2 linked regions of the Drosophila melanogaster genome follow. The protein of the gene in region 2 purifies or fractionates together with the protein of the main gene of each other region. This does not show direct contact. Each region holds a gene or a part of one and is shown on either strand. Other genes may lie near its edges.

Region 1 (5,038 bases), on a different chromosome or scaffold from region 2:
CTGTCCTTGCTGCTGCTGTTGCTGTTGCTGGGCCAGTTGCTGTTGCTGCTGCAACTGCTGGTGATTTAGCATCTGCTGCTGGCTCAGCATCTGCATCCTTTGTTGCTGCTGCTGTTGGGCCTGTTGTTGCTGCTGCTGCTGCTGCTGCGCCTGCTGCTGTTGCTGCTGCTGCAGCGAGGTCACAGTTTGGTTCGGCGGCGGCGCATTAATGCGCGATATCAGAGCAGAATTTGGATTCTGTTGCATGCCGCCGCCTTGGCCCACACCGCCCACATTGCCTGCTCCCTGCATGAAGGGCGGACGCGCCTGACCAGGCTGGTTGGGATACATCCAGCGGTTTTGGCCGGGTCCCACGTTTTGCTGGAAGTTCTGATTCTGCATTTGATTGGAAACGAATTGATTCTGCTGCTGCTGCTGCAATAGTTGCTGCTGCTGCTGTGGATTGAGTAAGCCCGCTGGGGGATTTGGACCGGGCTGCTGTTGCTGCATCGTGTTCATGTTCATGACCTGCTGCTGAGGATTGCCTTGTTGTTGCTGTTGCTGCTGCTGTTGTTGTTGCTGTTGCTGCTGCTGGGCTGGAGTGGTGTCCATGGGCATGCCCTGCCCTTGTTGTTGCTGACCAGCTTGATTTTGTTGCTGTTGTTGTTGCTGCTGCACTGTAGCCTGTGCCGCATTGGGTGCAGCCATTTGGGCCGCCATGCTGTTGGGACTAGGTGCTCTCTCCTTGAGGCTGTATCCCTTTAGAAGCACTAGGTGTCTTATGTTCTTGGCATAGTTTTTGCTCGTAATGGGCTGATCTCCGTCGGCCTTCATGAAAAGTTTGAACAACACCGGCATCTTGCGTGGCGCAATAATGGAGAGATTGATTTTGCGCTCGTTGAAGAGCGCCGCCAGCTGCTCACATGATTTGCCCGGATACTTCCACGACTCCGTTGTGGGCATCTGGTACGGCGGACTGTTGCAGATGAGAATGCAGTGCCTCTGGACGCTGGTCTGATCGAGCAACTGGCGCCTTTCGCTGATGTCATCAAAACAGCCGTGGGCCGCAGCAAATCCTTCGGCCATGTGGGCACAGGACTCCATTCCGCCTCCCACTAGTGGCAATCTTTCGATCGTCTCCATCACTTTTTGGGGCTGCAGAAAGGGACCATAGGTTGAACAAACTGGCTCCAGCAGATTGGCCGCTGTACGGTAGACCACAATACCGTACAGAGTGGCAAAGCGCTCCGCAATCAGGTATTCCCGCTCGTCGATGGAGCCAGTGGTGAAGTGCTCCAAAGTCGGCAGGATGTAGTTGGTCTTTAGTTCGTTGATGTAGGCTCCGTTGATGGCGCTGCCCTCGATGACGAAGACCACGTCGGCCAGGGGAATCTGGTCCACCTCCATTGGACGATGGGAGTTGGCTTTAAGTTGAAAAACTTGTTGCAAAAAATGTAAACTATGTTGTCTGCTTTACACCGCTCTTTTACTTTTTTCGTTTGTTTTGCATATCGCTCTGCTGCTATCGATAGTCAACTTATGGTTATCGCTCAGCGATTGCTAGGGCTGCAAAATAAATGAATATTCAAAAGTGCCCATAAAGTTGGATTTAAGAATATGCAGATTGCCTTGAAAACTTGTTTCTATTGAATTCTTTTTCTATTTTCACAAATAAAAAAACGTTTGGTGTTTATCTAATTAACTTAAAATTGAATATTGCATACAAAAGATAACTATAAATAAGATATTACGATGTTTTATGTTAGGTATCATAATTATAGTTGTTTTATGTATGTATTTTCAATGGAACTATAAAGTTAATTCTTTAAATATTCGTTACCAATAGTTTATATCGATGGTTGCAAGTGCTGCCAGACTCTCGCAGCGAGTTTCCGTTCGGCAGTCTGGCAGCGCGGTCAGCTGTTCCTATTGCCCAACTTGCGCAGTTCGTTTTGTTCAGTTCATTCGCCGATTTTGAAGAATGCGGACGTTGACGCTGGTACCGCGTCGTTTTGCCAAAATAATTCGTAAAAAATATACGCAAAACGCTTAGAAAGTGTCAATTAACTAAACATTAGCTATTGAGCAGTGCAAGTGCAGGAAAAACGATCGCAGAAATAGCCGAAAACACATGAAAGTGCGAATTGCGGGCTTTTTTGTGGCTGGCACAGAATGTGTGGCACAAAGCGGAAAGCGCGCTAATTGAGCGTGCGAGCGCCTGAAACGCAGAGAAATGTAAATAAATAAACGTGTGACGCCGCGACAATTGTGAAAAGTGCACAAACACGACGTTTGGCAAGTGAAAAGTGAGTGAAATCTAGATAAATTTCATTAAATTGCCCATTTCGCATCTGGCAAGAAGAACAGCTGTTGTTTGGCATCTCGCTCTGTCTGGTTGTCCTCTCTCTTATTTTGCCCTCTCTCTGTTTTTGTTGCTCCCCTTTGCTTCTGTTTTTTTTTACTGCAATGTTGCTAAATCGTTTGATTCTATTATTATAATTATACTCCTTGCCCTGACGTCACTGCCTCGAAAAACCTGATAATTTGGGTAGGCAATTAGCATGGTTTAAGTATAGTTTAGAGTACAGAGAAGTGAATTAAACGGCCATGTGTGCACAGCATGCATGCTTTTTTGTTATTGTTGCCTGGCAACATGTTTCGCCACATCTGCCTTTTTTTTCTTGTCTCTCTGTTAGTCCAATTTGCCAATAAGCAACTTTTCCATTTGTTTACAATAATTGTGATCGCTACAGAAGCACCGATCGTGAAGTAAAAAGCGCCTACATAAATATAAGGCACCAGTTATGCTTGGGCGTCACTCCGACTGCCGATCGCCAGTTATTTTAGTTGGGTGTTTGTACATTTAAATACCCTACCTAAATGCAACTTACTCGCATGTAGTCAATATCATTCAAACCCTAATATGTTACGCATTTTCCAATCGGGTTTATCACATATAAACAATATCGAAGCCAGATAAAGCGACTTGTGATAATAATCACCCATACAACAAAGGCTGTTCATTCATTATATTTACCATATTATTGATAACTATTTTTATAACTGAACTACAATATGTTCTTATAAATAAAGAATCACTAGATAATTTAAATATTAAATGAAATAAGTACAAACTATTTTTTAACTATAATAAGTTATTATTTGAGTAATTGCACGTATTATCATGTACGGATGTAGGTTTTTTGCTTTAAATAATAAACGTATTTAAACGTATTTTTAATTGATTAAGGGTATACTAAATGCATTGCTTTCGGCTCCGCCATTCACTTTCCACTATTGCGTCATTATTGGTTGATTTATGTATTTTATCGTTACGCTATACATTTGCAGATCGCATTCGCGCGTGGAAATTTAATTTAAGATTTCCCACACAAATAAAGATAAATTTGTTATTGCACAAACGTTTGTTATTCACGCCCGTCTTGAATACTTACTAATAGATTTGCAATTAAAATAGGGTCAGATTAAACGATAAATCAACTTCACCGCCTGCTTATCAGTTTTTGACCCTAACAAAAAAATAGAAAGTCCAATTAACTATGTATGTACGTTTTAATTGTGAACTTCTTATCAGTCTGCCATAGATTTAGGTTCTTAAAAACTATTTTTGATTTTCCCCTGAAGAGCTTTCAGCTACTAAGTAAGTGGCTAGATAAGGGCTAGACAATTTGACAGACCGCTTTATCGGCATGGTCAAGTGGTAACTAATCGGAAACGGTGTTGCTTTTGTAGTGCTCCCAAAACTAATAGGTTTCTAACCGTTTTTCACTCTTACTCCATTTGCAGGCACTGAAAGCCGAGAGACAAGGAAAACCCATTTCCGCGCCAAGTGCAATGGGCGAAGGTGTTCCCATTTTTCGAGTTCTTATCGGGCAGCGACTGAAGTATGATTGAGTTGGCCTCGCCTCCGATTCGCGTCTGGTTCTCGTTGCGCTAGGCCGATACGGATACCCGCTTGGACTCCACTCGGGTGGACCCTTGTTGGACCTTTAGTGCGATTTTCGAGGGAGGCCAGGGAATGGAACATGCCCGGGGATATGCATAAGAACGTATCTGTTCAAGTCGATAGTGATTTTGCCTTATTGCTGCCCAGTGGTGTTTATGAAATCAAGAAAATGGAACCGCGCTCCAAAATCCGAACAATCATTGTGTTTTGCCTCTTCCTGGCCATCGCCGGCATCATCGGATTTGGATACTTTTGTCAAGATCAGGTAAGTGCCAAATCCCCTCATTAATTCCCATTGCTTATAATTTATAATTTTCTGTTACTTGGCTCCAATGCAAATTAGCACACCAATTGGCGAAATGCTGAATTTATTCATTAATATTTGCCGTACATGTGTGCTTTTATTGGAATTACCATTCATACATTTTTGGATCGCACGAAACTTGTTTTGCTATGGCGCATTAATAAATTTATTATTTAAAATATTCGTATAAAAATATGCGTTGGAGTGTTTTTCCCTTCGGCGCTAAAGACAGCTTTTATAATATAGAACTCTTTCTCGATGTTTATCAATTTTTTGGGAGCTTTAATTAGACAAAACAAAATGTTTTGTTTACAGCCTTTCGGTTGGCGCCTTTAAAACTCGGAAATTGTTTACGCAAACGCAAAGGTGCTAATGAAATTCCTCCAAAAATGGAAAATGTGTAACATAATAAGATTTCGCTTGCAGGCGATTGTGCTTCTGTGTTATTATTCATAAATCTTTGACACGCGTGCCCCGTATTGAAATTAGTCTAATCTGTAGCATAAAGTTTACAAACAACTATGGATTTCTGGTTGGTATATTTGGGTCACTACTCATAATATCGCCCATAAATCTTCGGCGTGGTTGATTGAAATTTGTCTTATCTGTTGGACTAATAAGGCTTCCCCCCGCGCATCTAATGAATGATTTAATGGCCGAGGTGTAAAGTGCATTCGTGGGCCATAAAAACCGAACCGAGGCAAAACAGCACATAAAATTCTACCCTGGGGACACATAAACCCGCACCAGTCGCTATTCCTTCAATTTTTGCTGCCTCGCGGTGTTCA
Region 2 (4,749 bases):
TATATATATTTATATTAAGTGCGTGTTCTGAGCGTTTCGCACAGTGTATCGTGGTTAATCTTCTGATGGTTACGCGACTTGGATGCAATTAGACTTGAACTTTTGAACGCTCCGTACACGAGTAGTTTAAAGACTAATCGCCTTCGCCACTGTGACTGAGTGAAAAACGAGTTTGTAATCCCTCTTACGGATCGTAAGTGTGTAAGTTATTGCTTTGGCTATCACTCCTCCCGTTCGACACAACAGTAACTTTCTGCTTTTCTGCCGGACACTAGCTAATGTACCTTCTTTCGACTGGCGTGTCCGCGTTCCACGATCAAGTGATCAACTGACTGACGGGGGCTGTGGGTAATTCGAGCTCATTTGCTTTTAGTTTCAAGCACGAGCAATTAATTAAGTATTTCACTGCTCGCCGTTTCCAAATGTATTTCCATGCCATTTCTTGCGCTTGCCTGAGCCCATTCTGCGTGTCGGACCGCCATTCCGCCATTTAGCCATTCGGTCATTCCGTCCTCCAGTCAGACGATCACCTTCGAGCACGGAGCTACGTCAGCCTTTAAAGTCCGGCGGAATTTCGTTGGGCAGCCAAGTGCAATTAGCTAAGTCGAAGTACAGAACGCTGAAAGTTAAAAGTAACCCACTGATGGCATTAATCAATTTACGAACACGCAATCCCAGCGACAGCTGTTGATACGCACAGCGCGCTTCACATGGACATACAGACAGACAGACGGACAGACACTCCATTATCTATTAGGTATTTACATGCATTTAATTTGAATGTCAAATTCAGATTTATGGCCTAGCCTATGAGAGTTACAAACAATGAGAGTCGATTACATATGAATTTACACCTATTTCTAGTTCTACGTATGCATATCGATTCAATTCATCCATTCATTCCGTTGTATTGTCGAGTATAAAACGTACATTTGACTAATCATATAGAGATATTGTGCAGACAATTGTTGCTAGATATTGCTTACGATGAACTACAAAAGCGTTCTCGCCTGTTTTATACGTTTAAAGCTTAGACTACGTACAAAAGGTTTGGGTTAGTAATATGTCAACGATATTCAATGCTAAAGTCTTAGGTAGCGCTTAAGTGTACGGATGAGTTACTCTTAAGTACAGATCAAATCTATGCGAAGGAGAATTACGTATTTACAATACAATTGTCGGAGACTCCTGGTTAGATCACTGGAGTCGGCCGAATCCTCGCTCTGCGACTCCGTCGCCTCCTCTGCAATCATTTGGGCCGAATCTTCTCGTACATGAATTTCTGCACGTGCTTGTTGTCCGGCTGCATGAGCTTCTTCTTGTTGAACTCGAATTGGGCCAGCGCGAAATCGTACAGATCGTTTTCCATTTGCCAGATTTTTGTCTTTTGAATGGATTTAATTGTCGATTCGCTGGGCGGAAGCTTGGAAGATGTCACCCGCAGATGAGATTTGTTTGAATTATGATAGTGCTCACGAAAGCCGTGAAAAATTCTGCAAAAGAAAAAAAAAGAACAGGTCAATGAAGCAACTGGAGTATTCTAAAACAGACAATAACATATGGTTGGGAGGCACACCTTGGAAGGGATCTCTCGAGCAGATCCACAAACTCGTACATCTGCTCTGTGACTCCGACTAGGAAGTATTCGTTGACTAGATTGCGCTTGGCCTGGTCCAAGGCCCAACTGCTGCCGGGTTCCCAGCACTCGGCTGCATGGCCACAGAAGAAGGGTATCTGCAGCCACATGTTTTTGGGATCACAGTCGGGTTGTTTCTGCACCACGCACTCATCGAAGGTCTGCAAAGATGTGTGAGGGCTTTGGTTACAGGGAGGTTAATACCTTGATGCTCTACCTACAATTTTATTGCCCGCCTTCTTGCGGACTAAATTCGGTCGGTAGTTGTCGCCAAAGCGTAGAAAGTAATAGTAGGAGACAAGTCTGTCGAGCGGTTTGCGCACCAAATTGATGTAGATGGGCTTGTGGGCGATTTGGAATCTGCAAAGGAGTAATGCAATTGAGACGGGCTCTGCTGGATTGGCTAGATGTTACCTACTTTGAGAAGTCTAGGAAGGCCATGTGGCCGTGATAAAGAGCTGGCTTCATCTCGTGCCACCTGGAAACATTGCGCACGAATTGGATTTGATTGGGAAGCGAGAGGACGTGCATGTTGGCAGTGACATTGATGTGCAGCACATGGAATTTATTGGGCTTGCACAGATCGTATGCTATGTTAACAAAGCTGGTGGATCCCGTTTTCGGTACGCGATTGTAAAGCACCACTAGGTGCTCCTCGAAGTCAAAGTCATCGGTGGTGGACGAGGCATGCTGATCTGGGCTCAGAGAATCGCCCAGCTTGGAAAGCGGCTTGAAGGCTGCACAAAGTAGGTAATGGGTGTAAAAGTGATATGGTTTTGCCTAACTACCGGACTCCACTTACCATGTTCCAGGCGAATCTCTGACCAAAGCAACCAGTAACCTGCACAGGTGACCGCGCACAGGGCTATCAGGATCAGCCAGTGGGTGGGTCGGAGCAGAATCCACATCTTAAGCAGTTTCCTAAACATGCCTCGTGTCGGTTTGCCCTACAGGTCAGCACGGTAGCTCATATCAGCGTATTTATTTCAGCATAATCTCAGGTCGTTGTTTTCCTTGTTTTTTTTCTGCAACCAACATCGAGCAGTGTTGGTCAGCAGCTGCTGGACAGTGCTGCAAGGCACTGAAATCTGGTGAATCTGTGGGAATGTGCAGCTGTAGCTGAGATGACTAAATTAGTGATGGAAAATAGCTCAAAATGCTAGCTCGGATAATTGCATTTAATTTCCAGCTAGGAATCCGTAAATTAATTGCCTTATATTTATAACTTCAATAAATATGTTTTTCCTAAAACACAACACAGAATATTTTAGGCCAGTCACAACCAGATCTGCATCACCCTTCAGCAACCCTTTTGCCTTGAGCATCACTGTTTTTATTAGTGTGACCACCCTTGCCGGCAAATAATACCAAGCAATGCCAAAATTCTAGCGCCCATTTTTGCGAGGTTAAAATAAATTTCGCAAGCCGGCTGCAATCGCAAAGTACAGTGCGACTTATATACACTCGTATAAAATAATTCCATTTAAAAGCAAGCATGTCCACCTTTAACTTCGCCAGCATGGCCGCCCAACTGGGCCAGGAGCAGGGAATATCATTCGAGAACAAGGTGCTTTCCTGGAACACAGCTGCCGATGGTAAGTTTGGGTGACGCTTTGGGTACTCCATGCAGTGGCTATATTGAGGCTTTTTACAGTCCAGGATGTGGTGGATGCCCTTAACAAACAGACCACCGTGCACTATCTGAATCTGGACGGGAACACACTGGGCGTTGAGGCCGCCAAGGCGATTGGTGAGGGTCTGAAGCGTCATCCAGAGTTTCGGAAGGCGCTGTGGAAGAACATGTTTACTGGTCGTCTCATATCGGAGATTCCGGAGGCACTCAAGCACCTGGGAGCCGCGCTAATTGTCGCGGGCGCCAAACTGACAGTCCTGGATCTCAGCGACAATGCCTTAGGACCGAATGGCATGCGAGGCTTAGAGGAGTTACTGCGATCCCCGGTCTGCTACTCGCTGCAGGAGCTGCTGCTGTGCAATTGTGGCCTTGGTCCCGAGGGCGGTAGTATGCTGTCCCGGGCTCTGATCGATCTGCATGCCAATGCCAACAAGGCGGGCTTCCCGCTCCAGCTGCGTGTGTTCATAGGTTCGCGCAATCGTCTCGAGGATGCCGGTGCTACGGAAATGGCAACCGCATTCCAAACCCTCAAGACCTTCGAGGAGATTGTTCTGGAGCAAAACTCCATTTACATCGAAGGCGTCGAGGCCCTTGCCGAATCCTTCAAGCATAATCCTCATCTACGAGTGCTAAACATGAACGACAATACTCTAAAGTCCGAGGGAGCTGAAAAAATAGCTGAGGCTCTTCCCTTCTTGCCACTGTGAGTCGGTTATAAAGTTTTTGATGAGGGAGAGTGAGTGAGTGTTATGTGATATCTTTTTGCTTTGCAGGCTGCGTGAAATGAGCTTTGGAGACTGCCTGATCAAAACTAATGGCGCCTACCACTTCGGTGAGGCTCTGGAGAGAGGAAACGAACGACTGGAAGTTATCGACTTAGGTTTTAACGAAATCAACAGCGACGGCGGCTTGGTGTTGGTGAATGCTATGGGAAACAAGCCCAAGCTACGCATCTTGAATCTAGATGGCAATAGCTTTGGAGAAGAAGGCAGCGAGAAGATAATCAGCGAGATGAGTAAGTTGCCAACTGCTGCCGCACTGCAACCGTTTCAGCACCAGGAAGAGGAGGATTTGGAAGATGAATACCAGGCTGACAAGCAGGACGCAGATTACGAAGAGGAAGAGGAAGTACACGAGCACGCCAACGATACTACCGAAGAAGCAGATGAGGATAGCGAGGGCGACGAGGACGACGAGGAAGACGAGGGAGACGAGGAGTACAGCAACGTCGCGGAGGAGACTGCCTATGTCACTACGAATGCCTACACGACCAAGGTTAGTTTATACTTCGGAGTACTGTGCAAATGGTAACAGCAATTAATCGAATTATCTTTAATTTTAAATTTTCACAGCTTTTTAACGACACAACCAACTCGATGGCCAGCGAAACTTTTGCGGTCGCGAACAAGACGATCAGCCAAAAATGCACTCCAGAGAAGTTCTGTTTGAGCCAGAAACCCTGCTCCCAGGAAGATTTCGA

The links. The genes of interacting proteins can lie anywhere in the genome.
Region 1: the proteins of Hs2st (region 2) and Hs6st purify together in Drosophila melanogaster (affinity purification with western blotting, with the first as the bait; one study listed by BioGRID). This does not show direct contact.

What each region holds. Positions count from the first base shown.
Region 1 is NT_033777.3:20,005,408-20,010,445, reverse strand, and holds the start of Hs6st (heparan sulfate 6-O-sulfotransferase), read left to right. Parts: upstream 1-1,933; 5' UTR 1,934-2,285; intron 2,286-3,786; 5' UTR 3,787-4,025; coding exon 4,026-4,211; intron 4,212-5,038. Other genes in the region: MED25 (mediator complex subunit 25), read right to left, coding at 1-1,386.
Region 2 is NT_033779.5:19,442,055-19,446,803, forward strand, and holds Hs2st (heparan sulfate 2-O-sulfotransferase), read right to left. Parts: upstream 2,697-4,749; 5' UTR 2,566-2,696; coding exon 2,439-2,565; intron 2,374-2,438; coding exon 2,055-2,373; intron 1,997-2,054; coding exon 1,858-1,996; intron 1,798-1,857; coding exon 1,577-1,797; intron 1,494-1,576; coding exon 1,250-1,493; 3' UTR 779-1,249; downstream 1-778. Other genes in the region: RanGAP (Ran GTPase activating protein), read left to right, coding at 3,132-3,231, 3,291-3,972, 4,043-4,544, 4,622-4,749. UniProt on the Drosophila melanogaster protein: Catalyzes the transfer of sulfate to the C2-position of selected hexuronic acid residues within the maturing heparan sulfate (HS).